Elephas maximus indicus: one gene and its partners. The protein of the gene in region 1 purifies or fractionates together with the protein of each later gene. This does not show direct contact. Links are inferred from orthologs where the notes say so. Each region holds a gene or a part of one and is shown in the gene's direction. Other genes may lie near its edges.

What was found.
Region 2: the proteins of DYRK1A (region 1) and FAM117A purify together in Homo sapiens (affinity purification with mass spectrometry; 4 studies listed by BioGRID and IntAct, with this or other methods). This does not show direct contact. The link is inferred for Elephas maximus indicus from reciprocal best matches to the Homo sapiens genes DYRK1A and FAM117A.
Region 3: the proteins of DYRK1A (region 1) and ANAPC4 purify together in Homo sapiens (affinity purification with mass spectrometry; 3 studies listed by BioGRID and IntAct, with this or other methods). This does not show direct contact. The link is inferred for Elephas maximus indicus from reciprocal best matches to the Homo sapiens genes DYRK1A and ANAPC4.
Region 4: the proteins of DYRK1A (region 1) and GLCCI1 purify together in Homo sapiens (affinity purification with mass spectrometry; 8 studies listed by BioGRID and IntAct, with this or other methods). This does not show direct contact. The link is inferred for Elephas maximus indicus from reciprocal best matches to the Homo sapiens genes DYRK1A and GLCCI1.

What each region holds. Positions count from the first base shown.
Region 1 is NC_064820.1:219,102,563-219,110,963, forward strand, and holds the start of DYRK1A (dual specificity tyrosine-phosphorylation-regulated kinase 1A), read left to right. Parts: upstream 1-5,353; 5' UTR 5,354-5,444; intron 5,445-8,401. UniProt on the Homo sapiens protein: Dual-specificity kinase which possesses both serine/threonine and tyrosine kinase activities. Exhibits a substrate preference for proline at position P+1 and arginine at position P-3.
Region 2 is NC_064837.1:43,842,657-43,849,992, forward strand, and holds the start of FAM117A (protein FAM117A), read left to right. Parts: upstream 1-4,042; 5' UTR 4,043-4,098; coding exon 4,099-4,294; intron 4,295-7,336.
Region 3 is NC_064823.1:137,986,052-137,993,964, reverse strand, and holds the start of ANAPC4 (anaphase-promoting complex subunit 4), read left to right. Parts: upstream 1-4,488; 5' UTR 4,489-4,576; intron 4,577-7,913. Other genes in the region: rRNA N6-adenosine-methyltransferase ZCCHC4, read left to right, coding at 4,341-4,488. UniProt on the Homo sapiens protein: Component of the anaphase promoting complex/cyclosome (APC/C), a cell cycle-regulated E3 ubiquitin ligase that controls progression through mitosis and the G1 phase of the cell cycle.
Region 4 is NC_064826.1:68,678,353-68,686,491, forward strand, and holds the start of GLCCI1 (glucocorticoid-induced transcript 1 protein), read left to right. Parts: upstream 1-5,110; 5' UTR 5,111-5,620; coding exon 5,621-6,074; intron 6,075-8,139.

The sequences.
Region 1 (8,401 bases):
TAATTACTTGAAAGCCTATAGTCCTCCCTTATGTTGCCCATACTGACTCCACATTGTTCAACCTCAACTATTAAAATACTATTACAGGTTAAAGAAGTCTTTGATGACCAGAAGTCAGACACTCAAAATCCACCTAGCTTTACCCCATGTCTTAGTTATCTAATGCTGCTATAACAGAAATACTGATGGCTTCAACAAACAGAAATTTATTCTCTCATAGTTTCAGAGGCTAGAAGTCTGAATTCAGTGTGCCAGCTCCAGAGGAAGGCTTTCTGCCTTTGTCAGCTCTGGGGGAAGGTCTTTGTCATTAATCTAGTCCTGGGTCTAGGAGCTTCTCAGTGTAGTGACCTCATGTCCAAAGGATGTGCTCCACTCTTGGCTCTTCTTGATTGGTAATAATGAGGTTCATCTCCTCTCTGCTTCTCTCTTTTATATCTCAAAAGAGATTGACTCAAGATACAACCTAATCCTGTAGATTGTGTCCTGCCTCATTAACACAACATCCTCTAATCCTGCCTCATTAACATGATAGAAGTTAGGATTTTTGACACATAGGACAATTGGATAAGGTCACAAAATGAAGGACAACCACACAATACTGGGAATCATGGTGTAGCCAAGTTTACACACATTTTTTGGGGGGTACATAATTCAATCCGTAACACTCTGGGAGACTATATATATGTATATATGCATATACATACATATATATATATATACATACACACATTTATTAGAAAAGGTACTAATCAAGGACCCATTAGAACCCCATTGAAAGGGACCATACCTAGACTTCCTCACCAACTCGTGTGCCCCCAAAACTAGGAGTCAAACCCTGAATCCATCTATCACAACTGAAAAAAGTCCATGCTGCCTCTGTAGACCAGCTAGCCCTCTAAAGCTAAAAATCACCTTGAGACACTCTGGAGGCCAGAAGTAGAGGACATCCAAGGTAGGCAGCTAATCCTAAGATCACAGAACAAGATTCCATGCATCTTGCTCAACTTTGTGGCCTTTGTTTTATAATTGTAGCTATCCTTATGCTGCTAGCATTACTCCATACTTGTGGCCTTATTCCTTAGTAATTTTATTCAACATGAAAGTCCACTTAAGTTTTATATTTCTCTTTGTAGTAATTTCTTCTCCTTTTTTGATATCTTTAGTTGGTTACCCAATGGCATTGGTTCTTCGTTATGCTCATCATTAGAAACTTGACTAATTCTTCTGATCATTATGTTAATTATAAGACTGGTTAAATGCATCATGAATTATATATCTAACTTTTGCAGTCACACCGCCAGACCCAAAGTTATGCAAAGTATATATATATTGAGGAGGTTCAAGTTTCTGGAACTTTGAGCTTGTGCCTTCGCAGTTTGTCAGCTTGCGTAATGCTGAGATATTCCTCTAAAAAATTTGGCCTTTCTACTCCAAGCTCCCCTTACCATCAGTTCAGGAGGAGAGTGACTAAGCAATGGCATAGTGCAGATACTAGATGGTGCCTGGCTACTCAGTAAAAGCATAGCAGCATCTGGGGCCTTAAAATCTTGAAAGCAGCCATCTATATTACAGCACAATTTAAAGACCATGCACAAGAAAGGGCTGTCATAATGGTCTTTGTGATTTAAGAAATTCTATAAATTCTTGATCAAAAGGGGGGAATGATAAGTAGCTTCTAAAATCAAACAGAGGCTCTCAGCTAGGCCAAAATGGCTGAGGACTCAGATCTCAATAAAAGGTTTGTCCAGATTACTAAAGAGGGGGATGATAAGTAGCTTCTAAAATCAAACAGAGGCTCTCAGCCAGGCCAAAATGGCTGAGGACTTGGATCTCAACAAAGGGTTTATCCAGATTACTCTGAGTAAACAGGGGAGGGAGACAGAAAGGAAAGTAATAAATGTGCTTAGAATGTTACAGGAAACATGTGACACAAATTCAATGTCCTTGGAAAGAATGCTTTTCGAAAATTGTCTCTTAGGCTGAGATTAGATTAACTGATATGAAGAGCTGTTTTTGAAATGTTTATGGGATTATAGGGACAACGACTTGATGACAATGGGTTTGGTTTTTGGTTTTAACTTTGTGTATAAAAGCTCAATTTTGTCCCCAGAAAGATGGAGCGCCTTGTTCTCTGAACGAAGTGCTGCCCAATTTGCAAATTGTATCTTGCCTCAATAAACTCCTTGCTTTTACTTCACAAACTCTCAGATTTTACTCTTTGACATAGCAATTAATTTTGGCTCATTTAATATAGTGGTTAAGTACTCAGATCCTAACTGAAAGGTTGGTGGTTTGAACTCACCAGCTGCTCTACAGGAGAAAGATGTGGCAGTCTGTTTCTGTAAAGATTTACAGTTTTGGAAACACTGTGGGGGCAGTTCTGTTGTGTCCCATAGAATCTCTGTGAATCGGAATTCACTTGTTGCCAATTTTTTTTTTTTTAGTGTTAAGGGTTACAAATGCCTAAGTGATTAGACAGAAGCATAACCATGTAAAGGGGACGGAGCAGGGACAAGAAAAGGAGGAGGAAGTTGGCTGTATAAGTGGAAATTTGATCTTGGGTAAAACCAAGGTAGTGATTGCTCATCTGTATAAGGACACTCTTGGCCACTACCTCTTCCTTCAAAACAACTAAGTACAATGTGGATGTTAATTACAGTACCAGGGTAACTTTGAAAAAACTCAGCAATCCAGAAGAACTTTTGTAGTTTTTTGATACCCTGAAGAATCAAACTGAAGTAAGCTATTTTTGCCTGAATATACACACTATTTAATGTGGTGAAAATATACACAATAAAACATTCACCAATTCAAGTTTCTACCTGTACAACTCAACGACATTGATTACACTCTTTAGGTTGCACTCCTCTGTGCCCATTTTCTTCCTAATTATCCCACCACCCTTAACATACACATGCCTGAATACTTTTTGCCTAATTTCTTTTACGTTTAATTTGATTTCTTTCAGGGCCTGTACTAACTTCAATGATTACCTTAGCGCATCAATTGGTTTGTTTGTTTTTTTTTTTGGTTTTGTCAATGTTCTACTAACTGTAGAAACAGAACATTTGTTGCAAATCTTTTTAAGCAAACATCTTTCCTTGAGTCACATACATAAGATAGCTATCAGTATTTATTACAATACTTTTTTTTACACCTAATACTGTTTATATGTTGCTACCGTACTTGTGAACAGCTGAAGGCTCCTATAAGAAAAAACGAATATGATCACCATCATAAGATGGCAAAACCGAACTTAGAAATAAATCAGTATATTAGCGACTTTTGGTACAAAATAATATATAAACTCTTCTCAGCTGAACATTAAAGGCCCTTATATTACGGTTGGTACAAAATACAATTTTTAGCCAGTGGCTGTCTCCTAATTACAAAGTAGCCAGCATGACATAGCTTGGGTTTTAATGCCTGGGGAGCACACCTAGAAATATTTAGTCAGGCAAAACAAAACCTGAATGCAAGCCAAAATAGTAATAACTGTTCTGATTGTCAAGGTAAGTGGGCAAATTAAGTATCTGGAAATTGAGAAGGTACATTAAAAAAAAAAAAAAAAAGGAGTCGAACGACAAGGACATAGTAATAGCACAAAAGGATTAATCTGAGGGGCATTTCCATGGAGAAGCCAGGCTGTACCCACAGAAGCGGGGAGGGGTAAAAAAGAAGGCTCGAAATAGATGGGGAAGCATGGGCGGAGCGTGCACTGCCTAGAAAAGTTTTTATGACAGCTACGTCCATAATTCTTGAACGTTGGTATTGGTTCCTTAAAAATCTGAGCGGCATGATTTAATCAAGGTGTCAGCCGCAGGGACATCCCTGATTCCGGGGAAGCGTCGGAATTCCTGAGATGTCTGAAGTGCGGAGGCGGCCTCCACCCCGCCCCCACCGCGGCCTCCGTGGGCATTTTCCGGCGAGGGGGGGACGCGAGCCCTTCAAAGAACACTTTAAACCCATGGACGTGTGCGCCGGGCTGCTCCCACGCGGCCGCCGCGCGCCCCGGGAATAAAGGCGAACACCTCGTCCGGACCGCGGTGAGAGCCCCGTGGACGGGCGCCCGCGGGGGGGCTTTCTGGGTCCCCTCCCCCATCGGCGCCCCTCCCCCCGGCGCGGGCGGGGCCGCGGGCGCACGACGCGGAAGCGCGGGGCTCCGGGGGCGGTGGCGCGGAGCGGGAGGGCGCGCGCTCTCAGGGCCGCAGTCGGCGCGGGCGCGGCGGGCGCGGGGGTCGGGAGGCGGCGGGCGCTCGCGCACAGGCTGGCCGCCGCCTCGCCCCCCTTTCCTCCCTCAGCCCGTCCGTCCCCCCTCTTCTTCCTCCCTCCCCCGAGCGAATCACGCGCCCTCCTCTGACACTCGTAGCGGGCCCGAGCTCCGAATTTATCCTTCACGTGACCTGAGGGGGCTGGGTGGTTGGTTGGGGCCGGAGAGGGAGAGGGAAAGGAGGGAACGGAATCTGCCGTTACCCGAGCAACAAGCCCCGCCCGCCGGCTCGGGGACGGGGGGCGGGAGGAGGACGTCAGCACGTCAGCCGGGGTTTTGCGTTTTGATTGACAGTTGCTATAGCGACCGGATCGGTCCGCCGCCATTTTGTTGGTTGGTTTTTTTTTAAACCCTTTCGCTTCCCGCCCGAATAATAATAAAAAGCCCCATTGGAGTGAGGCGGGGGTGGCGGCGGCAACAGCGGCGGGGGGATCCGGGGACACTGCTGCCGTTGCTGCTGCCGATCGTGGCCCAAGTCGGGCGCGGGGAGCGGACACCCCGAGCGGGGGGTGAGGGTGCCGCCGCCGCCGCCGCCGCCGCTTCTGCTGCTGCTGTTCCTGCTGCTGCTGTTGGTGCCGCTGCCGCCGCCGGCGAGCGGGCGGGACCGGTGTGAGTGTGAGAGTGTGTGAGTGAGCGTGTGTGAGGACGAGTGTTCGTGCGTGTGTGTGCGAGTGTGTGTGTGAGTGTCTGTCTGTGCGGGCACTCGGGGGCGGGCGGTTCGGGCGCTCCTGGCGGAGAAGCCGCCGCTGCCGCCGCCGCCGCTCGGGCCCCGGCGCTTCTCGCTGCGCAGGTTTGGAGCGCGCGCCATTTTGTGAGATTTACAAAATCCTCTTCGGGAAGAAGCAGCCGGGAGCGGCCGCGACTAGGTGCCCGGCCTCGCCGCCGCCGCCGCCCTCCTCGCCGGGCCGGGCCGTGCGGCCCCGCCGCCGGGAGTCGGGGTCCGGGGACTGCGGTATTTGCCGGGGAGGGGGCTGTCGCCTCCCCGGCCCCGGGCGCCGCTGGAACCGAGAGCCGGCGAGAGACTGAGCAGACTGCGGCGCGGGCGAGGAGCCGGGGGCGGAGAGAGGCGGCCGGGGTGGCGCTGGCTGCGGAGGCCGCGGCGGGAGCGCAGCGGCGGGAGCCCGAGGCTGAGACTCACCGGAGGGAGCGGCGCGAGCACCCCGCCATCGTCCCGGTGAGTGTCCGGCCCGGCCGCGGCCCCGCCCGGTCCGGCGCTCGGCTCCCCCCGCGGCCTGTAGCCGGGCTCGCGCCGAGGCCGGCCGGGCGGAGGGAGGGACCTGCCATTTTAGGAGGAGGCGCCGCGGGCCCAGGCCCGGCCGCCGGGGAGGGAGGCTGCAAGGCCGGGTTTTGGAGGAGAGGCGGGTGCGAGTGCAGGGAAAGTTGCGGAGGGCGGGAGGAGGGGGCCGCGGCCTCTCGGGAGCCGGGGCCTTAGGGGCCGGAGAAAGCGCCAGACCTTTACTGGTCGCCCGAGCCGAGGGGAGGAGGTTGTCTTCCTCCTCCTCCTCTTCCTCCTCATCCTCTTCCCCCAGCTCCTCCCTCGTCCCTCCTCTTGGTCCCCACCAGTGTGGGAACCGCCGGGGTTCTTAGCAAGGACAATGCCTGGGTTAAGAAAATGGGGCTGGTGCTGGGCGAGGCGAGGACGGCGGAGCCGAGGTTGGGCGCCGGGAACGTCGGGAGCCCGATCCCTCACAACCCGTTGGGGTCGGTGCTGGAGGGAGTGGGACTCGGCGTGTTCTGAAGTTGTGCAGTGACTGCAAGTAATCCGGCCACTCGAGATGCAGTAATGCCCTATTCAGCAGCTGGAGGAGTTGGTGACTGGGAAGACGTGAATTATAATTGATACCTGTGTTTTACGACATAACTTCACTTAGCTATTTATAGACTCTAACTCACATTTCTGCTGAATATTTATCTCCACACTTAGCAAAAGGCTCCTCCATATTCTGAAATAGTTAAAAAATAGAAAAATTAGCGAGTGAGTGCCTCTGACTTCTTGGCTGTGGTTTTCATCCACCCGGAGGTTATAGGAACCCTGTGATGTCCGTATAGCGCTTGAGTGCCAGCACGACTTGATTATTGAGTTTTGCCCGAGTTGTCAGGAAAGATACGTTATAACGTTATTCTTACACGGAGTTGAAGATGAGGACGAGTAGTGCCAGGTGCCTCTCTCTGGGCTTTACATGTTATTACCTCGCTGATCCGGCCAGGAGGAACTGCTGCCCATTTTACAGATGAGGAAACTGAGCCGACAGAAGGGCAGTGACACGTCCAAGGTCAAACAGCGGGAGCATGGAGTCTGTAGCGAGCCTGTGCTCTTAACCGCCGTGTTATTGTAAATCATTATGAATACTGGCAAATTTTGGAACCATTTGTGTGTAATGACTCAGGATTCTAACGTAGAGATTGTCTCTCTTTATAGTGTTTAGAATGGGATTGATTTTGTGGTTTGTGGAAGTGGAAGGGAAAGGTTGACATGAGGTCCTCTTGATGAAACTTGTCAGTTTTTTTTTCAAGAAAATTAGTTTTAGAATGGAAGGAATTAAAAAGTATTCTTAGGTGTGTGGTGTTCTTGATAATTATAGGCATCATTTAAGTATTGATGAGTCATAAAGTTTTGTGTGAAGTTATTTTTGGTGATATTTTATATTTAAATAAATATTTTGGATTTTTTCTGTGACATTTTACACATCTAAAGTGTCTAAAAATGAATATAATTAGTACTTTGATTTTGGGTACTTTAATAAGTAAAATTATTTTTAAGTTTTGTTTTCTTAAATTTCTCATTTGGTTATTCCATTACTTTAAAAGAATATTTTCAGATAGACTAAATGTGAGACTAGGATTAATGTTTCATGTACTAGGGTTTTAAATTGAAGATAGTTTTAAAGAAACAGCAGTTAAGAAAAACATTTGCTTGATTATAGTTAAGCTTTTTAATGTATCCCAGTACTTTTGAAGGATCTGCCTTGAAGTAACAGTAGTGTTTACGGTAGCTGTCCAAATTATTTAGACTTCAAACCTAGCTGGAGAGCTTAGGACTCTTGTCAGTGTCTACACTGTGTTCTGTTGTAAACCTGGGCATAAAAAAGTTCCTGTTTACCTCAGGGAGGCATGAGCTCAAAAATTATTCTAGAAGGGTCTTCCCTTGTGTCTGTAAGGCGAAGGCATACTCTTATTTCTGGTGGTGTTTAAAAAAGATTTTAGATTTGAAGGAATAGACTTGAATGGTAGGGGTGGGGGTGGGCTAAGTGATCTGGTGAGATCTCTGTTATTGTTAAATTGTTTAGGATTTTGAAATTTAGGAATAAGATGGTTTCTTAAGGTATTTTGAAGACATTTCGATGGGACCTGTTAGAAATTTAATAAAGTTATTGTACTGTGCATTTAAAAATTAACAAGTAATCCAGTCTTTTAGGTGCACTGTCGTTCAAAATAAGTGGAAATATTCCATTTTAGTGCAGTGTCTTGTTTGGAAGTGTGGATAGTAAAAAAGACCCTTGGTTAGAATTTTTTTAGTCTCGATAATACTGCCTGAAGCCTGTTCCTTGGTTTTATTGTGAGTTCATTGTATTTATGACTTATAGATATGGGGTAAACTGGGGAGTGGTAAGTAGAACAAATTGTATTTGAAGAATTTCCATGGATTTTTATAGTTCTATGAATATCTGGAAAAGTGAAATTGGAATAACTTGTTATGAACATGTCTAAAATGACTATTGGCACTCATTTTGTTTAGTAACCACACCAAGAAAGAAAAATGCTCATTTGCATTGAATCTTGGGTAGTAATTGAAAACCATTTTTTTTTTTTTTTTTTAAGAAATAGTTTAGAAATTGAGACTGCCTATAGGTGTTTTCACATGCATGCTTATGTTTGGCAAGTATCTAGTTGTGGGAAGAAAATTTGGATAGAAGTAAATTTACTGTGGGTGAGAAAGGAATTGCTTTTGTATAAAAACCAAAAAAAAAAAAAAAAAATCCCACTGCTGTCGATTCAGTTCCAACTCCTAGCGGTCCTATAGGACAGAGTAGAACTGCCCCATATGGTTTCCAAGAAGCGGCTGGGGCATTCGAACTGCTGACCTTTTTTTTGGTTAGCAGACATAGCTCTTAACCACTATGCCACCAGGGT
Region 2 (7,336 bases), on another chromosome or scaffold:
CATTATTGTCATTTCCTAGTATCTAGCTCAGTGTCTGACATATAGTGATCATTTCAATAAATTTGTGATCAGTAAATTAATTAATGACAATGATGTTTATAAGGATGACAATGGGGACAGTGACAAAGGTTTTCTTGCAACACAAGCAGGTGCTTTGCAACACAAGGCATCTCCTCTTAGCAGCACACAACCTCCCCCAAAGCCATGGCTTCTTTCACTGGAAGAAACAGACAGGGGTTGATCTTCAGATGAGGTTCTTATCCTCCCATCATGCCTATGCCAAAGAAGCTATCAGTGATAGAGAAGGGGATAAGAGACAGCTGGTTGGGGATGATACCTGGTAAGGAGAGGACTGGGTTCTCCCCTGCATGCCTGCCTTCTCACTCCTTCAGCTAGGACCAACTTTAATGTCTCTTGCCAGCAACTTATTTATCAGGAAAGACCATGTCTCTCTGGACTCAGAAGATCCAATTCTTTAGCTGTGCCACCTCCACTGGCTCTTCCTTCCCTGTCCAGGCCCTCCATTCCTGGTACCTTGGAACAGAAGGTTTAAACCACATGTCCTTGGGACAACCCATATTACCCCTCTCTTCAAGGGAAGAATGCATCTTACAACATTTCGTCTTATCTTTAGAACAACTCTGAGAGGTAGATAGAGCAGGGGTGACTCGGGCACAGAGTTGAAGCCACTTGCCCAAAGTATTTAAAGATCCCTCATCTCAAGGCTTTTACCTCTAACACATACTATGTGGCTCAACCAACAAAAGCCATTCATCATCTCCTAAGACTGCCTGAGAATTTATAGAAAAAAAAAAACTGTTGCCGTTGAGTCGATTCTGACTCAAAGCAACTGTCATGGGTTGAACTGTGTCCCCTCAAAATATCTGTCAACTTGGCTAGGTCATGATTCTCAGTATTGTATGATTGTCTACCATTTTGTCATCTGATGTGATTTCCCTATGTGTTGTAAATCCTATCACTATGTTAATGAGATGGATTAGCAGCAGTTATATTGATGAGATTTACAAGATTAAATAGTGTCTTAAGCCAATCTCTTTTAAGATATAAAACAGAGAGAAGTGAGCAGAGAGACATGGGAATCTCATACCACAAAGAAAGCAGCACTGGGAGTAGAACACATCCTTTGAACCAGGTGTTTCTGTTAAGAGAAGCTCCTAGTCTAGGGGAAGATTGATGAGAAGGACCTTTCTCCAGAGCCAAAAGAGAGAGAAAGCCTTCCCCTGGAGCTGATGCCCTGAATTTGGAGTTTTAGCCTACTAGACTGTGAGGAAATAAATTTCTCTTTGTCAAAGCCATCCACTTTTAGTATTTATGTTATAGCAGCACTAGATGCCTAAGATAGCGACCCTATAGGACAGAGTAGAACTGCTCCATAGGGTTTCCAACACACAACTGGTGGATTTGAACTGCAGACCTTTTGGGCTCAGAGAATTTATAGATGGGTCCTAAAATGGTGTATGTTGTGAGGCAAGAACAGACTTCAGGAGACCAACTGGCCCACGTTTTCTCCTCAGCCAAGACCAGTGGACTGTAAATTGAGTGTTGGTTGGGAAAGTGCTTGAATCTGAAGTCAAAATACCTAGGATGTAAGTCCTGGGTTTCCATTTAATAACTGGATGATCTTGGGCAAGTTATCTAGCCTCTGTGTCTTAACCTTCTGTAAAGTGGGGGCAATAGTATCTGCATTTTCTGCCTTACATTCATATTGTGAGAATTAAATGAGATGATGTATGTGAAAGTTATAAAGCACTAGTCAGTTGTTAAATCATTTTAACATCTCAGCCAGATTTGCATCTTTGGAGATTCTTTATGTGAACTATAAATGGTAATACTTTTGTGTTCATAAGAAAGAGTTACAAGCGTAGAGATTAGAAGCTTGGGCTCTGGAGACAGCCTGCCTGGGTAAACTTGGGCACTTCTCTCTGAGGCCTCAATGAAGAGGAGATAATATCCACCTCACAGTCTGATCATGAGCATTAAATGAAATAATGCAGGTACAGTGCTTAACATGTACCTGGCATGGAGAAAGGAACTCAGTAAATGTCAGTGCTGCTACCATTACTGATTTTATTAAGGAAGGTTTGTGGCAGGGTGGTCCAAAAATGGACAGAGATCTGAGCTAGGAATCAAAAGGATTCCCTTCTTTGGGCCTCAGTTTCTCTACCTACACTGTGGTGAAAATCCATGCTTTTCTTCTTCCAGATTGTCATAAGGATTAAAAAAAAAAAAAAAAAAAAAAGCATATGAAGACTCTGAACTATTTGGAATTGAGAAACAATACAAATGCAAGGTTAAAGTGTTTGGCTGCTAACTGAAAGGTTCGCAGTTGGAATCCACCAGCTGCTCTGAGGGAGGAAGATGTGGCAGTCTGCTCCTGTACAGATTTACAGCCTTGGAAACCCTATGGGGCAGTTCTACTCTGTCCTGTAGGGTCACTATGAGTCAGAATCGACTCAACTGCAGTGAGGTATCTGCCTTTAGTAATGTTGTCCCTTTCATGGAAAAGGAGTCCAGCACTTTTTTAGTCAGTTAAAAGAGATTTCAAATGTCAGATCTTGAATTAAATCCTTCAAACAAGCAATAGAGCACTCTTTGCAAAGAACACCATTCTTCAGAAGATTCCATTTCCTCAATTCATTCTGTGTTGATTGTAATATTCAGCCAACTCTTGAATTTCCACTTTGTGTATTATCTGCTTTCAATATTTAATCCCAGAATGACCTCTCCTTGCCTCCCGGCATGATCCCAGGTTATCTCCTTTTCTCTGATTAGTTAGTATATCTTCAGGGAATACCTTCATTTTAACATAAAACTGGGCAAAAACAGAAATAGAAAGATAAATCTGTAGCAAGATCAAAAATAGGATTCATAGCTAAATATAAATCTGGAGGGAATTATCCAATTATTTGAATGGTCCCTTGACGCAGACAATATAGGGTTGATTGCCTTTGCTTTTCCATGTATAGAACAAAATGGTTGATAAATACCAAGCATAATAATTTCTAATAGCACCTTAACTGCAGTTTTCTTTACTCAAATGCTTTCATTTATATTAACATCATGTGATTGTCACAGCTGTATGCATTCTTTTTGGGGACTATTCGGTGTCATTTTGCATTAGAGGTCAGAGAGCATTGAACTGGGAAGATCAGGATTTGCTAATGGAGTCACTGAACAAACTTGGGCAAGTTCTTCAGTCACTTTGTTCCTTCCACTCTGCTGAGCTAGAGACTTGGAATAGACTACTCTGAAGGGAAGTTCCCTGCTCTCCTTTTCAGAGTTCCAATTTAATTTGCAGACTAGCGGCTGTTTTTTTCAGGTTGGACCAACACCAAGTAGGGACTGGGAAACGTGGAGAAAGACAAATGTGTCACATGAGCACGGGAACCTTTAAGTGCAAGAATGTTATGCAAATAGCACGCAAATAATATGCAAACTTTGCATTAATTTGTAGAATCTTAGTTTGGCCGTTGCTAGCAGCACTTTTTTTTTTTTTTTAGCAGCACTGAGATCCTATGAAGATTCAAAAATAATGTTTTCAGGTTAAAACAATGTAATGCTTTCGAAGTTATCACTTTCTCCGTGCTGCCAGCACTCAACTGCTGAAAGTTTGACACCCCCCAGCCCACATAATGATTTCACCAGTGCCTGATTCCAACCCACACCCAAACCCGCCCCCAGCTCAGCCTAGTGTCACGTGATAATATTTGCATACTACCTGGGGCTGGGTGTGACGCTCCCCTTTTCTGCGTCTTCTCATTGGTGCCTCTGGAGAACCAGCCCTCTTCCAGACTGACCAATCAGTGGCCTCTCGGCCGTCGGGAAGCAGGCAGGGGGTGGGGTGGGGGTGGAGTCTTGGATCGGATCGCTAGGCCCATCGACCAATCATGCTTGGAAAAGGGAAAAGCAAGCCGCGGATTGGCCGGGAGGTAGTTCTTGGGGCTCCATAGGCCAATGAGAGCTCTGAGCTGAGGCGGCCGGTCTCCGCCCCGTAGGGCAGATAAGCAGCGGCGACGAGGACCGGGGGGCTGTGTGTGCTCGCTGCGGGGCCGAGGCAGGAGGGCTGTTGGGCGGGTGATGGCGGGGGCCGCAGCGGGCGGCAGAGGCGGAGGTGCCTGGGGGCCGGGGCGCGGAGGGGCCGGGGGGCTCCGGCGGGGCTGCTCTCCCCCAGCCCCCGCCGGTTCTCCCCGGGCTGGGCTGCAGCCGCTCAGGGCCACGGTCCCCTTCCAGCTACAGCAGCCGCACCAGCGCCGGGACGGGGGTGGCCGCGCAGGTGAGCCGGGCCTGGAGCGGTTGCCGGGGAGGGGCGGGGAGCCGTGGGGGAGGGGGGCGCGTGATGAGGGGGGAGGGGAAGTGTGAGGGGGAAGTGGGTGGGGGCGAAGTAGAGAAAGGGGACACAAAGTCTGCAAGGTTGGAGGAAGCGAGAGGAGTCGTGAACGTGGGGTGCACCGCCAGAACTCACTTGGGGCTGGGAGGTGGGGGGGTGGGACCTGGTAGCTGGAGTCTGGCTTTGGGGGTGTAACCGAAAAGTGGGCAGAGGTGTTGTGTGGCGGCCAGCGGAAGATTTAGGGATGGGAGCAAGGTGTGAGGGGGGAGTGGCGCGTGATGGGGGGTGCCCTGCTGCGAGGGTTGGCCCTGGGAGCAAGGTGCGGGTGGGCGCTGGACGCCTGCACGGGGAGGGGGAGGAGCATGGAGGAGCGCCCAGTGGAGCCATGTGTTACTTCTCCAACTTGAGTTTGGCCCCAGCATCCCTCTCTGCAGCAGTGGAGTTTCTTTCCCTACCAGTTCACGTGCGCTTCCCTTTATGCCACCTCTTGGAGCTGATTTTATTTGAGCTGTTGGAATAAGTTAGGTTAACGGCTTTTACTGCCTACAAACGTTCGGCTCCCGATTCCCCACATTGCTCTCTGTGTGGCCCAGAAGTTGTATGTGCCCAGATCGTTGACCTGCTTAATTTGGCTGTCTCATTCCAAACACCGTGTCTGTGTGTATAGGACCTGGGTAGCTTGCTTCCCCTGCTCCCCGCCACCCCCCCACCCAATTTGCCACCCTCCGCCTTTCCCCCCGTTCGCCCCACCAAGGCTGTTTTGGGCATTGCCAGCCAACGTGGCAGTGGGGGTGAGGGCAGCAATCAGTACACTGTGGCAAATACCCCACTTTCTGAACAACACTGAAAAGGTGTCTTAATAGCAGCTTGATGTGGTGGGTGTGGGGAAACTAGGGAGGAGCAAGCTTAACCTTGCTTTCACACTCAAAGCTGTGACCAGTTCCACAAATGCAGGCCGTTAGGAAAGGGAAAAGAAACCTACTTGCTTGAGGAGGTTGGCAATAAGTTGAAAGTGAGGCTTACATTTGATTTACACCAGATGTGAACAGATCACTGCACACTTGCAAAGCCTGAGTCTGTACCAAATGTACAAAAGTCGTGGTCCCTGCCATTTAACGGCTAATGGCATTCCTTGAACCAAAGTCTCCTGAGATTTTTGTGATTACTAAACTTACTTGCACATCCCCTTCCCGAAAGTAGAGCTGCTATCGTGCCTTGCTAAGTAGGAATGGGATTGAGAGGGTCTCTGAGGTAGAAAACCCCCAAGTCTCTCTGGACCTTACTGCAAACGTTAGCATCACATCTTGGAACACAGAAACTTGGTCAAATCTGGTAGCAAGATGGTGACCAAGTGGTAAAAGTATGTGTAGAATCTGGCTGTGTAGAGCAAGGCAATGCCCAGAGAAACACATGCCTATCATGAGCTGGAAAGCAAACCACAAGACTACAAACCTGTTGGTTTTGTTTGGGCTTCCTTGGAGCCCAGGGAAGTTAGTAGAACAGCAAGCACCAGAACCTTAGTTTTTTTAGTAGAAATCCACAGAATACCTGCCTGTGTTGTAGCCGGAAATCAATTAGCAATCCTATTTTAAGAGCTGTTATTTTGTGTCTATAGAGCTAATAATAAAAGGGTAAATAAACACTGGTGAATGCTGTGGTAGGGGGAAGAGTGTAGGTTTGGATGCCTGAGTTCTTTACATGACCTGTTCTTTTACAGAGCTCCTGAGATAACGGTCAAAACATAGGAAGCTAGATCGCTGCTTAACTTGACAGGTGATTTAAGGCAAGTTGGGTGGACTCTTGCTCATGGATTGGGTTCATCGATCATTATTCTATCTATTAATATACCAGAGGCATTAACATGGCACTTGCCTGGTGGATAGTGGGATTAGCTATAGATTTTCAGTGCAGCAGGAGAGAGAAAAGGTAAAAGAAGAGTACCCTGAGCCTATGTTCTTTGTGGCTAGGCAATAGGGGAGTGTACCTGGCCTTTGGTTTGGGAGCACATCAGGCTTTCTGCATGTTAACGTAAACCTGTATGTGTGTTCAGACTGTTTCCGTACCTTGGCCTGCCTGGGGAAGTGGCAGGAGTGCCTTGTAGGCCAGTCGGGTAAATGTGATAGAGGGAAACCCGTTGCAGTCATGGAACCTTGAATAGCATGGCATCGGGAGCCAGAATGCCTGGGTTTCAAATCCAGGGTTCTACCATTTAGTAGCTGCTGGCCTTGAGGAAGTTACTTCTTTGCCTCAGTTTCCTCATCTGTAAACTGTGGATAATACCTACATCATAAGAATCAAACAAATTAATAGATTTCAAGTGCTTAGAACAGTGCCTGGCACATGGAAGGTGCTATAAAAGTATTTGCTGCTTCTTATATTGTTGTTGGAAACCTTGGTGGCATAGTGGTTAGGAGCTTCATCTGCTAACCAAAGGTCAGCAGTTTGAATCCACCAGGCACTGCTTGGAAACTCTATGGGGCAGTTCTCCTTTGTCCTATGGGGTCACTATGAGTTGGAATCGACTCAACAGAAACGGATTTGGTTTGGTGTATTATTATTATTCCCTCTCCCTGGCCAAGGTGATAGTGAGAGCACTGTTGGCCAGAGCCCATTGCCTTTTCAGGCTTCAAAGAGCAAACCCAGATTGGTCTGAAACCAGTACTGCAGGTTTCAGAATTTCAGGGCCCCTTGCACTTTTATTCCTCATCTTTTAAAATGAGCTTTCTAAACAGGGCTCTGAAACCCAACTGTGTAAAAAGGCATGTGAGCTGCGACTGGGTTTCAGAAACAATTCAGTGTCGTCACTTTTTGTTTCCCATCTCACAGTGATGTAACACTCAGAGCTGTGCCGTTATCTCCTCACCACACACCCTGTTGTGTTCTTGACAAGATACATTAGACCTCGTAAAAAGGGTCATGGGGTAAAGAGCGTTATTTACCTTCTGCGGCCATTCATCCATGAGGGATGTCTTCATAAAGTGAGGAATG
Region 3 (7,913 bases), on another chromosome or scaffold:
ATAATTATCTTTTTTTTTTTTTTAAACTAAAGGGATGATAGGAATTGAACCCTCTTGTTTTATGGATAAGAAAACTGAGACCCTTTCCTAAGGTCACATGGTTATTAGGTAGAGATTACCAGATATCCAAATTTCACATTACATGAACGTTTGAAATCAAGATAGAAGATTCTGAGCCGTCATGTGAGCTGTGATGAAAAAACACCTATTAGTATTAGAAGTATATGATGCATTCATTAGTTACTATTTTATGATTGTATTAGGATTCTATTATCTCTTTTTATTTTCTTTGTGAAAATTAATTTTTTTCATTAAAACCCAGCCACTTGAATTCTACCTCCTACTTAAACTGACTTTTCCATTACTTTTTATCAGATTTACTCTATTTTAAATAATTTTTTCCATTAAGTAACCCGAATGGAAGTAGAATTTTAAAAACATTAAAGAGGCTGTCGTGTAGGCTTTTAATATCTTAGAAAATTAGTAAAGAGATACTCAGGTTTGATATGCATAAGCTTTAGTTTACTGCAAGGTAGTCATGCAGGTAAGACCTCACAACATTCATTTAGAACTGGAGAATCAGAATTTACAATTACAATGTTGGTCAATGGTTAGAGTCCAAATCTTTTGCTTTCAGGTTTATACCTTTGATGAGAGGTCTCAGGAGGCAGGCTTCACCACAGCTGGAACTCATTAGAGATCCCTTACAGCTAGGGTCCAAGGCCAGTGGTGGTGGACAGAATCTCAGTTCCATATCTATCTTCTCTCAGTACGCGAGCAGAAATTTAGAGTTTATATGTGAATTTATCACCTTGGCTTCACATGAGGGCCAGTGTGACGTCAAAGACTAGTATGTTCTGTCTTTTCTTCAGGGTTAGAGAGTAGCCAAAAGATGCATTTTCTCTTCAAGGTTAGACATTAGGGAGGTTGTTTAATTAATGTTGTTTTCTTGTATCACAGGATGCTGGGTCAGAGTGAACTTAAAGGTTATTTACATTCTTTACATACTTCACATGCTCCTGTGTTTCTGTGTCTAAGTTTAGAAATTTTCTAAATTACTTTATTAGGAGAGCCTCAGAGTGGTAGACATAGTTCTAAGTTCATATTATGAGTGCTTATTCATATGTATTTTGAAAGCATAATAGTGTCTTAGACCTTATGGGATTTGAGATCATTATAGAAACAGACAGAACTTATTGACGAATCTTACAAAATCTTCTAGTAGAAACCTTTAAGAGTAGAATGCAACCTAATAAACTATCGGTCTGTGACTGTTACACTATTCTCAGTAGGAACAGGAAGATAACATGCTCAGCCTTTACCTCTGTAAACTCATGATACATAGAAACTGAACTTGCATTCTTACACACACACACACACACACACACACACACCTGTTGCTGTCGGACTCATAGATCCTATAGGACAGGGTAAAACTGCCCCAGAGTTTCCAAGGCGCTGCTGGTGGACTCGAACTGCTGACCCTTTGGTTAGGAACCAAATGCTTAACCATTGTACCACCAGGGCCCGGTAGGCTCTTTCCTGGGTTTTAAATAGCCTCAGTTAGTCTGTTTTGTGGTAATACAGTACAACCTGTGAGAGCTGGAACGTGACAGGACTGCCTTGTTTTTCTGGGTCTTGAAAGTTTTCGGCCTTTGACAGGTTGCAGTCTTACTACTTTTCTGTTGCTCTCTATTTGTGGAAAATATTTGTGTTTTCCTTCTCTGACAGGTTTCCACCTTACACAGGTTCCGGCTTTCACAGGTTTTACCGTATATTGTTTTCATTGTGGGAATTCATCTGTGTCTTTCAGTACAGATTTTAGGAAGTTTAAGTCTAAGAGCAAATCCTTGGGGATGTGGTATATCTGGTCATTCTTAAATAGTATTTTACTTGCTTCTCTCAGAGAAGATTCCTAAACTCTTGCTAACATTTCTCTTAAAAAATTTTTTATTTTAAAATTAACAAGGCTATGTTATTTTTTCTCTTTAAGATAGTAAAAAAATAATTTTAATAGTATTTTAGGCATACATGGCATAAAAGATCTTTTTAGCTTCTGTTTTTTACAGCTGTTTTATATTAATTTGTTTTTCCTTAATGCTAATTTTCCTTTGGTTGTGAACTGGAATGATGCTGGCTCCCTCTTGTGGTTAAAACTCATTTTGTCAATTACATAAATACTTTTAGAGGACAAAGACTAACTTTAATTTTAAGTAAAAACAATTATTTGATTTATACTCAATCAGTTCATCACAGCTTCAAGACTTTATATCTGCAAAGCTTTGTTTATTCATATTGAAAATGAATATATTAAGATTTTTTTCCACCTATTTTTGTTTACTGTATCCCCTAGTGAAATCTGGTTATAGTGTTGATTTTTAGTCATGCTTATTCGCGGATGAGCCAAAGAAAAATTTGTTTAAATTTATTTGTACAGGCATTGACTTTGTTATCAAGAGATTATACTATACTTCATTAAACTTGCTAAATCATCACTTATCAGGAAATTATCTTACATTTAAAAATTGGCTGGGGGAAAGAGGAGATTTGTATAACGTGCAAAAACAATATAAAGATGACTGTTTTCATTTTGAACTGATAGAATATTCCAATCCATAGTGCAAAGTCTACATACGGAACATTGCAAACTTGTCAAGCGAAACTGAATAACACTTGAGTCGTGTGGAACTACTACTAATATTTATTGAGTGATTACCATATGCTTAGCATTTTGCATAGCTGAGTAATTTATAGTAATGCATAGCATCCAAAATGATTAAAAGCAGTTTCTGGAATCAGTCTAGTTTTGCCACTTCCTCACTGGATGATCGTAGATTTTCATAGCCTTAATTTCTTTTCCTAAAAAAAGCCTAGGGAAGGGATAGGAGGGTGATTTCCGCCTCATCTGTCTTCTAGCTCTTTGAAGTCAAAGATTATGCCCATTCATTTTTGTATTCTTGACACTTATGCCGAGTGAACAAAAAGTGAGGCTTAAGTTTGGTTCACTAGGGGATTATGTATTGTTTGTGAAACCTTTCGCAGGTTTTGGTCCTGGGAGGTCAAAAATAAGCTTTTCCCCAGGGCTTGTGGTTTACGAGAGGTGAAGCTAACTATTGATATTGCTAGCTATCAAAAACCAAATCCATTGCCATCGAGTCAGTTCCGATTCATAGTGACCCTATAGGACAGAGTAGAACTGCCCCCTAGGGTTTCCAAGGCTGTAATCTTTACAGAAGCAGACAGCTGCATCTTTCTCAAGTGGAGCAGTCCGGTGGATTCGAACCGCGGACCTTTCCATTAGCAGCCGAGCACTTTAACCACTTCACCACGAGGGCTTCTGTTATTGCTGACTAAACCAAACCAAAACCAAATCCAGTGCTGTCGAGTCGATTCCGACTCATTGCGACCCTGTAGGACAGAGTAGAACTGCCCCATAGAGTTTCCAAGGAGCACCTGGTGGATGTGAACTGCTGAGCCTTTGGTTTGCAGCCATACCACTTAACTACTACACCACCAGGGTTTCCTTTTGCTGACTAGTGACGGGAAATTTCTAGGCTTGCCAGAACTGTTAAGCCCAACCTGTTCTCTGGTTCATGATACGATAAATGGTATTCTTCCAGCTTGGAGAAAGTGAATGTACAAACCAGTAGTCTTTCTCAGCCACAGATTACCCGTAACTTAGTTCAGAGAATGCCAGAAGCAAATGATCTGTTTTTTTCTGGTGTGGTTTAGTGCTTTTAGAGGGCAGGGTCCAGCTTTTTCATTTTGAAGCTAGTTTTCAGGAAGACAGGGACCACAAAATGTGGACAACCTGTATGGCACTTGCCCAGGACTTTTAGTTCCTGAGGAAAGGAAAATTAGCCCAAGGACTGTAGGACTTATAAAATGGGCCCCTTCCAGTGTTGTCATTTTCCCATTATGCTAACTGCCGAATGCATAGGTCCTTTTTGTAAAAAATGTAATTCAGGGGTTTGAAGATTGAAGTGCTGAGTTGAGCAGTATGGATGTACCAAAAAAAAAAAAAAAAACAAAACAGAAAAAACCAAAAACATAACTCATTGGCTTGACTACCTCTGTGATGTGTTTGTCCTAAACAGATTGTTCTAAATGTGTAGTAACCATCTTTCAAAGAAATTTCTTTTCTCAAACATTTTGTTTGGTCAGGCTTCTGGCTATCTCCTTGTTACTATGGTAAGAGTTCTGTGGATTTATGCTTATAATACAGTAAATTCCTTCTCTCCTCTGTTTTCTTATTTGGTTAGCTAGTTAATTAAACTTCAACATAATTACAGAATTTACTGTGCTCATTCTACAAAATAATTTAGTACCTTGTTTTTCAGAGCTGTCAGGAAGCAGAAGCAAAGAAAAAGTAATAAGATGGAATTGGAGACCACTAAAGGACAATCCATGAATCATACATCTGTTAGAAGGAAAAAAAAAGAGAAGGGAAAGAGCCCATCAATATCTTTGCTCTTAAATGTCCAGTGACTTGAGAATCAGAAAAGATTTATAGTCCAACCTTTGATGCCATTTTCTGAAAGTGCCACACTGGACTTAAATTCAGCCACTTGCAAAGGTATGTACCTGGCTAAGCCAGATACAGTCAGGCAGTATATGCTGGTTTATAGATGCCTTGTCCACCTCTCTGGAGACCTGGGGAGTTGTTCCATCCTTAGCTGGCTTACTAGCTCTCTCTGCATGCCTTCCTTCTCTTTTCCAATCATACTATTTTAGCCTTCTTTATCTGAAAAATGGACATACAGCATTCTTTTGCAGAAGGTGTCAGAAGAAAATGAAAGTGAAAACTTAAGAATTTTTGTTTACATTGAACATAAAACTCTGTTAACTTAGAAATGGAAATATTTGAAGTTAAATATTAAAACAGTATGAGATGGTTTAAACTCCACTTGAAAAGAAACGTACAATGTACAATTATTTTTAGGCTGCATCTGAAGATGGAAATAGTTTTGACAAAGGCACTCTGAAGATATAAATATAATTATGATGACATTACTCTTAAATATTTACTTGTAAAGTACATTTTATAGTTGTCCTTCAATGTACAGAATCACTTGTCTTTGTTGAATGAATGAGACATTTAGAATCAACGAGCTGTGTCATCTCGGCTTCTTTTAATCTATGCTGTTAGTGTATCTCTATGTGTAAGTAGTAGCAGAAAGCAGGCTAGTTTGGTGGTTTAAACCCTCACTCATATCCTAACACTTCCTGGCTGTGTGTCCTTGACCAGGTCACTCACTGTCTAGAAGCCCGTTACTCATTATTACAATGAGGATAATAATAGGTAGACCCAGGTTTGCTTTAGTGAGTTAAATGAGACACATGTGCCTCACTCATGGCTCTCTTCTGTCACTGGTGAGCCATGATAACAAATGAAGATTGCTGGGGAGGCCCGATGTTAATCCTCCAGTGGTCCAGTATCAAAGCACTGCAGGGAGCAGTTTATACTCAAGAGAACAAACAGTTCATCTCCCCATTTCCCTGCTAGATATCTGACGTTATCTCCTCAAAACTGAATAGTTTCGAATGGCTTCCACCTGCATAATGGCTTTCCCTTGTCCCCAAACTACCGCTTTAGAGCAAATTTGGAGGCATCTTTGCTTGGGGTTAGCTGGAGTCCCCTGTGAGTAAGGTTGGAGGGAAGTGCACTCCATCTGGTGTTTGAATTCCAGGTATGTTAGGCCTTTTCAATACATGAAGTGGAATACTCTAGCGTGGCCCTGATCGTTGTGGTAGTGGTATATTTCAGGTGACATCCAAGGATGGGCCAAGTTCCTGGACTTTTAGAAGCATCAGAAAACTCTTCTCTTGCCCCCTTGGTCACGTGGGTTGCTATGGTGGTAGGAGAGACAGATTTGGAGGTGATTAGATGAGATGTGAACCTGGTAAAATCATTGTAAGAGTAACCTTCTCTGAGTCAGACATGGACAGGGACATTGCCTCACTGTTGTGGTATCCACCATACATGATAACTATGAAATCTCTCAAGTATCTCTGTCTGGCACCCAGACACCTGTGGGACCATGACTCCTGAAGAATTGAGCCCTAATGGCTAATGGTTATCATCACATTATTTCCTTAATTTTAAGACACCATCAATTTTTTCTTTTTTTAATTGTAAAAATATATATATATATAACACAACATAACGTCAATTCAACATTTATGTCTCTCTTGCACGTTATAGGTGCTCAGTAAAATTGTTTTGAAGGATAGAATTTTCTAGAAGTTTTCAGATGGTAGGCATGCGTAAGATATGGAGAGAACTTCTATTTTCTGTTTCCTGTAAGGGCTGAAAAAAAGGGAAAACAGATCTACACAATTCTGATAGGAATTTAGAGTCAATACAAGGACTATTCTAACACTGAGGTTTTCAATGCTGGAATGTGCTGTGTGAGGAAGATTGACAGCCTTATCTGGAAGTCTTTAAACTTAGAATAATTTGGCTTCCTAGGTTGTTTTAAGAAAAACATTTATGTTGATGTCTGGCCTCTTCGAAGTAAGCTATAAAATACTAGGCATCTGGGAGAAGTTTGACGAGCTTTTGGGTATAAAACTACAGCCTGCAAAAGGCCCTGGGGAGATGCCACCTCCTTCACGATGTCCTTGTTGTTCTCTCCAGGGGAATAGCACTTCTCTTGCCAGTGCAATAAAAATACAATGTGTGCTTGTGTGTGTCTTAATTTGTACTTCTCTTAAGGTACTTAAAGCATGCGCTGTATTAGAATGACTTTAGGTACTCGTTTACCTCATTACACATTAGAAGCTCACTGATGACAGGGGCCTTGTGGACATAACGATGTTTGTTCACTGGTTCCTGGAACTGCCCCTTGCGCCCGGTGACATCAGAGATAACCAGCTGCATCATGTATGATCTGGGTTACTCCACCCAACAACTCTGGGAATTAGGCAGACAGCCTAACGCATTTCTTTACACCAAGACAATACCTTCCAAGTGTTAAAAAAAACCTTCCAAGTGTTAGGTGCTTATAAATACAGATTAAGTGAGTGGAAATGCCTCAAAACCTTAACTCTGCTACTTGAATAGGAAGCTAACACACTTAGAGCTGCCCAGGTGAGGAACACTTCCAGAAAATGGAAAGGAAAATCTAATTTCATTTATTTGATGCTATTTTAATTGGAGCATTAGGACATGTGTTAAGTTACTTGAAAGTGATATGATACGATCATATGATATGATTTCTACTATTTGATTTCAGGTGAGCTAGTGTAGACTGAGGGAGATAGCAGCAAAAGTAAGCAAGTAAGCAAGCAGACGTGCTAGCTCTGAGTTTTACCCCATTAGCTGGACAGTCACAAGATTCTCAGACTGGTTAGTTGTTGAATACCACTGCAGATGAGACAAGGTAATTCCTAAGAAACAGCTGGAGTAGGCAGACCTCAGTTTCTTCACCTACAAATGTGGCAGTGAGGAGTGGGAGCAAACTAGGGAAAGTCACCCAAACATTCTGCGTGTTAAAAGGGGACTATTAATACATGAGCCCAGTAAATCAAAGAAAAAATCACCCCTAATCCTACCACCCAGAGAGAATCACTGTTAAAACGTTGAGGTTTATTCTTACGGATAGATTCTTGCATAGATAGCAATACAGACATACCCTAAGTTTTCCCCCACAAATACAGAATTGTTAATTATTCCTGTTTTGTAACTCACTCTTTTTCATAAATATGTTGTGGACCTCAATTTATAACAACAGTATTTTTTCCAATATGGATATGCCGTATTTTAAAAAATGAATCTCCCATGGTTGGACACATAAGTTGTTTGCATTTTTTCACTATTATAAACAACTCTGATGAATGTGCTTATAACCAAGTCTTATTTCCTTAGGATAAATTTCTATACTTCTGAAGACTGGATATGTAACTCCTAT
Region 4 (8,139 bases), on another chromosome or scaffold:
ATATACTTACTCATGTGGTGAAAAGCAAAATTCAGGCACATAGGAGGAAATAAATTGATGATACACTTTTAACTATTTGAACTCTCATTTTTTAAAATAATACTATGATAATCAAGCATACTGCCTTCATAGGACGACTACCGCTTCCATGTATTGCTAGCACTATTTGGGGATAAAACAAATAGACTATCACAGCATGGAATGAGTTAGAATATTTACAGTTCTTTGGTCCCAAGTCTTTAGCCTGCAACTGTGCTGACTTTATACAATATAGCCTTCTAGTTAAATGGTAAAAATCAATTTATGTACCAGCTTAGGGGATATGCCACTAGCATCATAGTTGACAAGTGGAATTGTTATGGAGATGCAAGGCTGAAAAATTGGTGGTCTTTATCGTTTTCTGTCCTTGTAGAAATAATTGCATGTTTACTCTTTCGATGACCATGCCAGTTAAAAAGAAGGCACTCTTATTTCCATAACTTCTGTGAGCTTTCTTATTAGAAACAAAACAAAAATTTTATCGTTTACATAATATGTCCCTTTCTACTTAAATATTTTTCAGTTCCTTTACACAGCCTCTTGAGAATAGCTGTTCATAACAGCGAGATAGAACCAACTAGGCAGATGTCAATAGGCAGATGTCACTCCCTAACTGATCCTCCTCAACTGTCACTCTCTATTTCAGTTGTCCTTTTTTCCTGTAAAGTTCAACTGTCTTTTCTTCATTATCAATTCTCTTTTCCATTTTCAACCTCTGATGAGCCTCCAGGAGCCACTGGGGCTAATGTTTTTCACTTTGCCTGTATAAGGACCACAATACAAGATACTGCTTTCTTTTTGAATGTCAGCCCCAATGCACCTATCTGTGTAGTTTACAGTAGCCATATAGAACACTTTTCTACTCTGTGGCTTTGCCATTCCAGCAGAGCTATACCTGTTACTATCATACAATTTTTTTTAAATGAAAAGCTCAAGTTTTCATTCATGGGACAAGTATAGGTTAAAATTTGCTACTCTCTCAACATCGTTGAACAGATTTTTAAAATTTTTTATGATGTACCAAGCACTGTTCTGGAGATGTTGCAGTTATAAAATAGATTTTAAAATCCTGCCTTCATGGCTCTTATATTCCAGACAGAACAGACATACAAAATGATGATTATAATATATGCTAGGTTGGATGACAACAAGTGCTCTGGAGAAAAATAAAGCGGGATAGAGAATAGGAACGCCTAAGGAGGACTTAGAATTTTTAAAAGGGTGTTCAGAGATGCTGTTATCATAAAGGTGGTGACATTTGAGTGAAGACCTGATGGAAATGAGGGAACAAGCCACATGGATATCTGGGGCAAGAGCCTTTCAGGCAGAGGGAACAGCAGTGCAAAGGAGCACGTAGGCTGCCACAAGCTGTGGGCAGTTTTACTAGCAGCATCTGCCAGGGACAAAAATGCAGCAAGGATTTTTTTGTTGAGTTGCTACTAAGAATCACCTACAAGAGAGTTTAATCCGCTTAAAATGAACATCAGTGCAGATCTGTTTAGTGTTCTCTCCCAGCCATGACCTCATTGCTAATACTAGCAGACTGGGTTGCTTTTTAGATATGGATGGGCCTTGGATGTACAGCCTGGCAAACCTGGATGGAACTAGAAGAGGAAGATTTTCATCTCAGTAGCTCTGTAGGCCTGATGGTTCTTCATCTGATTATCTCTCCACATGGGAGAGATTCAGTTCCAACTCACGGTAACCCCTTGTGTGTCACAATAGAATGGTGTTCCATAGTATTTTCAATGGCTGATTTTTCAGAAGTAGATTGCCAGGTCTTTCTTGTGTGGCATCCCTGGGTGGACTGGAACCTCCAACCTTTCAGTTAATGGCTGAGTACTTAACCATTTGCACCACCCAGGAACTCTATATTAATCATAGGTAGTCAGTAATTCTATGTTTTAATTTACCCTAAACCATAGTCTATTACCATATTTGAACTAAGAAGTAAGTACAATAGAATTCTACCTCCGATTAGCTAATGGTGGAGTCTTATCCCACAGGTAGCCAAGGCAAGGAGGCTACTGAGAACAAAGGCCTTCCCCACGCTACCACATTGCTGCTTTCAGTTTTGTCTTCTTCTGGTAAGAAGAACATAGTAAAGAGGTCATTACTAACATTAAGACTTATATGGACTTATCAGAGATTGCTACATTTACATTTAACAAAATAGGCAAAGTGCCAACCTATCTTGTAGCTAGCACAGTAGCATAAAAATGCTATTCTAGCCCAGAAATCCACATTTCCTTCTAAAGGATTTCCAATTTACTGAGAAGAACATTTTCCTAAAGCCTATACATGCTCTTGGAGTCCCATTCCCAACCCCAATAAGAATAAAATATTATTAAGAACTCAAAAGAGAGGGATTGAATTTCCAAATAAATCAAGATGACATACCAGTAAGTGAAAATAGTATTTTAGGATCATACTAATTCTTTGTGTAGTTCACTAAGATTTGCTTTAGATATCTGAGTTAAGTTGGCTATGGTAGATTTGAACAAACACATAAAGCCTTAAAATGTGGCTAGTTTTAGTTCAAATTAAGTATTGGTCGTTTTACTGAAAGTTGGTAAAAATTTAGAATTATTATAATCTAATTTCTTTTCTCTAATGTAAAAACATTTTTTTTTTTTTTGTTTGAATGTGTTGAGGTTGTTCCATACTTATATTAAGGAGTGGCCAGAGATAAAATTTCTGTAATGAAACCATGCTGTAATTAAAGCAACAACTTAGAAACTTACCAGCATTTTTTAAAGCTTTACATATTTTAATCTGTCAAGTTTTTTTGTTCTTACTATTCTGAATAATTCACCAGAGAGGTCATTTGTTGTCGTCATTTTTATGCCTGAAAGAATGCAATGTCATAATTAATGAGGAATCATTAATTTTTACATGAAAAAACTAACACAACAAATCAGATGAATTATATCAAAGTTGAAGGAGTAAGGTATTTACCCTATTTATAATGAAAATACATGTTATTTTGGAAAGCAAAACAACAGTGGGCTGTTTTCACTGGTAAAATGTCTTTTGAACCAAAAGGGAATTTATCTCACAGGTGAGATTTATAGACTGTTGTAAATACCCTACCAATCATCTACTCCACAGCTTTAAGCTATGAGGCAGTAGAGAGAGAGCTATTCACAGACACTTGAGCCAGACTGCCTGTTTTAGATTCCTGGCTTCCCACTTAATAGCTGAGTGATCTTGAGCAAGATATTTAACTGCTTTGTGCTTCAGCTGAGAACACAGCAGGGGTAACGATAGTATCTACCTTGTGGATTGTTGAGAGGACTAAATGGGTTAACACATGGAACGTTCTTGAACACTGGCTGGGAAGTGGTAAATATTAAGTAAATGTTAGCTACTATTCTAGTGTGACAAAAGGTGAGGAACTTTCCCTAGTCTTAATGGGATGAAGTACTGGCTGAAATTTTTGTGTTCTTATTGAGTTTCATCAATTTTTTACAGAACTAAGTATGCTTTCTGGTCTGAGAACACAAGGGAACAGAGAGAGAGATGCCTCCTGTGAGTGAAACAGACCCCTGCAGTGCCTGAAATCAGAGGAAGCTTGTCAGTTTGGGCAGACCGGTCTGGGTCCCACTTCTTTTACCTAATTAATGGAAGATATCTGATGTAGACTCTTAAATTAACTGTTCCTGTGTAGTGTTTAAAACCATGGTTTACTATGAGGTTAACTTAAGTTGCTGATAATCAAAGCATTTGTACCTCTTCAGTTGCATTATAGAATACAAACAGAATTTATCCCAGTGCATTGTTACATTAAGTCTGGTATTTATTCTTCCCAAGAGGCTGCTTCTGGAGAAAGTCAAGGATGTGTCCTCCACTAATATATCGTGGCCCCCTGTATCTGCTGGTTTCTCATCCGCAGATTCAACCAACCGTGGATCAAAACTATTCCAGAGAGAGTGAGAGATAAAAAATAGAAGTTCCAAAAATCAAAACTTGAATTTGCCACTTGCTGAGCAATACACTGAATCCATGCGAATGAAATGATGTGTAGGCACACCCTACTGTAGCCTCCTGCCATTTCACAGATCATCAGTGTCTCTCTGACACTCATTGTTTGAGCATTGTTCACCTCTTGTCATTATTCCCTAAACAATACAGTACGGTATAATAACTATTTAGATAGCACATTTATTAGGTTTTAAAAGTAATTTAGAGAGGATTTAAGGTATATGAGAGAATGTGCAGAAGTATATGCAAACACTACGCCATTTTATGTAAGAGACTTGAGCATCCTCAGATTTTGGTACCTGTGCGGGTCCTGGAATCAATCCCCTTTGGATACTGAGTGACTATATCTAACTGGTGGTGAATGATGTAAAAGTCCTTGTTGACCCATGTAATACTGTCCTGGAGCATAAGATTTCATCATCTCATTTTACTGCTAACTACAAATGTTAGGATGGGCTATGAAATGATGGTCCCTTAGTTCATCCGGCTTCTAGACATTACTCCTGATCTTGATAATTATGTTAAGCACCTTAAGTTGTTTTGATCAGTCTACTAGCCACGAAAACTCAGATTACTAAAATTAGAAAGGAAGGGATGGATCCTTCTGACTCTAACTCTAAGACATCCCACCAGAACAAAGTATACTTGAAAAGTAAAGTTTGCCTTAAGTGTCTTCTGCCTTAAGTAGTAGACTGCCCAGGAAGGTGGAGCACTTGCAACCTGCTCAGGGGAGCGTCCGCGTGTCTGTGGGTGTCAAGGCACGCGCAGGACACACATGGACCCAGTTTCCTAGGGCTGCCCAAAGTCTCCTCTCACCCCGAAGGCTGTCAAGTCTCACGGCGCTCCTTGCGCGCTTAGCCCTCTCCTCACTCCTCCACTCCCTCACCCTCCGCCCAAAGGTAGAATGCCCCACTTTCATTGGTGGAGGCTCCGCTCACTCCTACTCTAAAACCAATCACTCGCGTGCTGGCGGAAGCGGCGTAGCCAATGGGAAACCTCGTTGCGGCAGCTGCCGGGTCCCAAACGCCGGGAGGCGGTGCCGGGGGCGGGGTGAGGGTGGGGGGATTAGTTGCCAGTCGGAGTGAGGAGCGGGTAGAGGAGGCGGCGGCGTTCGCGGTGGCGGGGCTTCTGAGACGTGCCAAGCACCCTGAAGCCCTTCCCCTTTCTCCTGATCTCCAGAAGCAGGGGTCCCGGCCCTCCCTGCAGCTGCCTGGTACTACCGCGCTTGCAGCCCCGCCAGGGCTAAGTAGCCTGCGAGCGGCCCCTGGGGCTGCGTGACTCAGGCAGTTGCCCCGCTTCTCTGTCAGCGCGATGCCCTGGGCGGCGGCAGGTTCGGGGTCCTCGCGGCTCCAGCCGTGACCACCACAGCAAGCCCGACCGGGCGGTTGGGGCCGTTGGACGTTTGTTTTCGCAGCTTTCCCCTCCCCCCTCGCCGAGGTGACGGGGGTGCGCGTTGGGAAGGGGGAGCCAAGAGACTCCTCCCCCTCCCGATATCCCCGCCCCTCCCCCTTACACACTCGCACGCACTATCGCGCCGGCTCCCACAAGCTCCGCGCCTCCGTGTCGGCTGGCGTCGTCCAGGGCCCGCGGAGCCACCATGTCCACTGCCTCCTCCTCCTCTTCCTCCTCCAGTTCCTCTCAGATCCCTCATCCCCCGCCGCAGAGGATGCGGCGCAGCGCCGCGAGCTCCCCGCCCGCCGCCGCCGCCGGGAGCGGGAACGGTGCGGGCGGCGGCGGCGTGGGCTGCGCCCCGGCTGCGGGAGCCGGCCGGCTGCTGCAACCCATCCGCGCCACGGTGCCCTACCAGCTCCTGCGGAGCAGCCAGCACAGTCCCACGCGCCCGCCCGCCGTAGCCGCCGCCGCCTCGCTGGGCAGCCTCCCGGGGCCCGGCGCGGCCCGCGGCCCCAGCCCGCCTAGCCCGACGCCGCCACCGGCCGCGGCCCCGGCCGAGCAGGCACCGCGGGCCAAGGGCCGCCCGAGACGGTCGCCCGAGAGCCGCCGGAGGAGCAGCTCACCTGAGAGACGGAGCCCCGGCTCGCCTGTGTGCAGAGGTAGCGAGCCCAACCCTCCCGTTCTCCCGGGCTGCGTCTCCCCGACGGTGCCCTCCGTGGAAACTTCAGCCTCTCCGGGCTTCTCTTTGCTAGTGCATTATCGAAGGTGTGAAAGTGGCTTTGGGAATCTCACCCCCCTACGGTCGCAGCGGGGCTTGGCTGAGCGAACTGAAAACTGCAACTTTTATTTGACCCTCGTGCAGCCCCTCAGATTTTATCTCCTATCATTCGCCTGCATCGAAAGGTTTTTCAGTTTAATAGATGATTAGCTCACTCGCGTTTGCTGATTGTAGCTGGGGAAGAAGGAGCTGGGCGAAACACTTAAACACGCACACAAACTCTCCAGCAGTCCATAAGGTGGTGGTTGTAATCTCTGCAGCCCCTTTGTGCTTCCTACAAAGTTCCTAACGTGCATGTAACTATGGGGATAATGTTTTCTTTTTTGGAGGGGTGGTGGTGGTAGGTATGATGTAATGATATCTGCTGGATGTATAGAGGGGGCAATTTTGAATGCATTTCAAGTGGAGTTACCCCCCCTCCCCGCCTTAAGTCTCCCCGTCCTCTCTGTGTAGTTTTACGCATCATAGCAATACTGCACTGGAAACGGTTTATGCCCAACTCAAGATTTTTATGGTAAATTTCTAAAGACCTTTTTGTGCAGTGCATTCACTTTTTCTTTCCACTTTTATGTTCATTTAACAGTTCAGTCGAACTGTTCAAGAATCTCAAGTTTTTTTTGTTGTTGTTGTTAGGTGTCAAAGGTAATGGTGAACTGGTGGATGCTGTGAGCTTCCCATCATGTTTTCTGGTTTGGTTTGGTGTATGTCTAGGGACACAGTGAATGATCTAGTTGAGTCCTGGGGGAGAAAAGGAAGATTTGCCAAAGCTCATAAGGGAGATCAGAGTAGTTAATACTGTTAGATACCAGTCTGCAGCTACAGATGCTGCTGCTGCATTGAGGAGGCAGCAGATCAGACTGAGTGGAAAATCTCTGGCTGGAAGCAAAAACACTGTCGAGCTCTGTACAATGTTTACGTGGTATGTGGATTCTTTTTTTAAATGGAGTTTTCTTGATGAAGGTCTTAGCCTTGGAGAATGTGATAGTCTGTGTTTTGACAGATTGTAGTTTTGATGTTTTTGTTTTAATATTTCGGACCTGTAATTAGCATTTGCTAAGGCACTTGTTTTCAGACCACTTGATGGTGAACCAGGGTAGGATGTAGTGCAGTGGGATTGTACGTGAGCATCAAGAAATACATCTTGTAATCTGTATGCACCAGGAGGAATTTGCTCCCCCACTCCTCCCCCAGGTCAAGCCAGCTGCTGCAGAAACTGACATCCTCCAGCAAATCCTGAATGAATGAATGAAAACAACGTGATCGCCCTAATAATGACCACAACTGAACACACATCTTTGGCTGTATTTTATAGAAAAGGCCACCATTTTCTAACAGATTAATGCCATATGCAACTCCCTTGCACATTTTCTAGAGCTAACAAATGAAAAGGAGGCAGCAGTTACATGAATTTCTGAGTGATTTAGCTTCACTAGTGCATAAATTGAGTTTCAGGGTTTTATTTTAGGGATTACTGTAAAAGTGATAAAATAAATATTGCAGATTTTTTGTACACAGGGTTTTGTGGGCAGCGTAAGAGTATTTTCGGCCATTGCTGCAACAGTAATGGCCATTGAGTATCTCCTCCCCTTTTGTTGAAAACACATCTTACAACACATTATAGTACAACTTGTTTTTCTTCATCCTTCAAAAGCCTTAATTGCCTGGGAATTACATGCTCCATCATCAAGTAGTTTTAATGAAATTTGTGATGAGGCTTAAGCTATCCTCTTTGTTGTAGTGTGGCGCATCCGACTTTAATGCAGTTTTAATGCAATCATGATGAAAACACTTCTCTGAGTCTAGTTGTGCAGCAGACAGATTTGCATCATCAGGGAGCTGGTGCTGGGAATGGAAGGGCATTCTCTACTAGAGATGTTTTTCTGCCTTTGTAACACCAGGTGGTTTTGTCAGTTTCTTACACTGAGGTGATTTTGAATGCAGGCTCT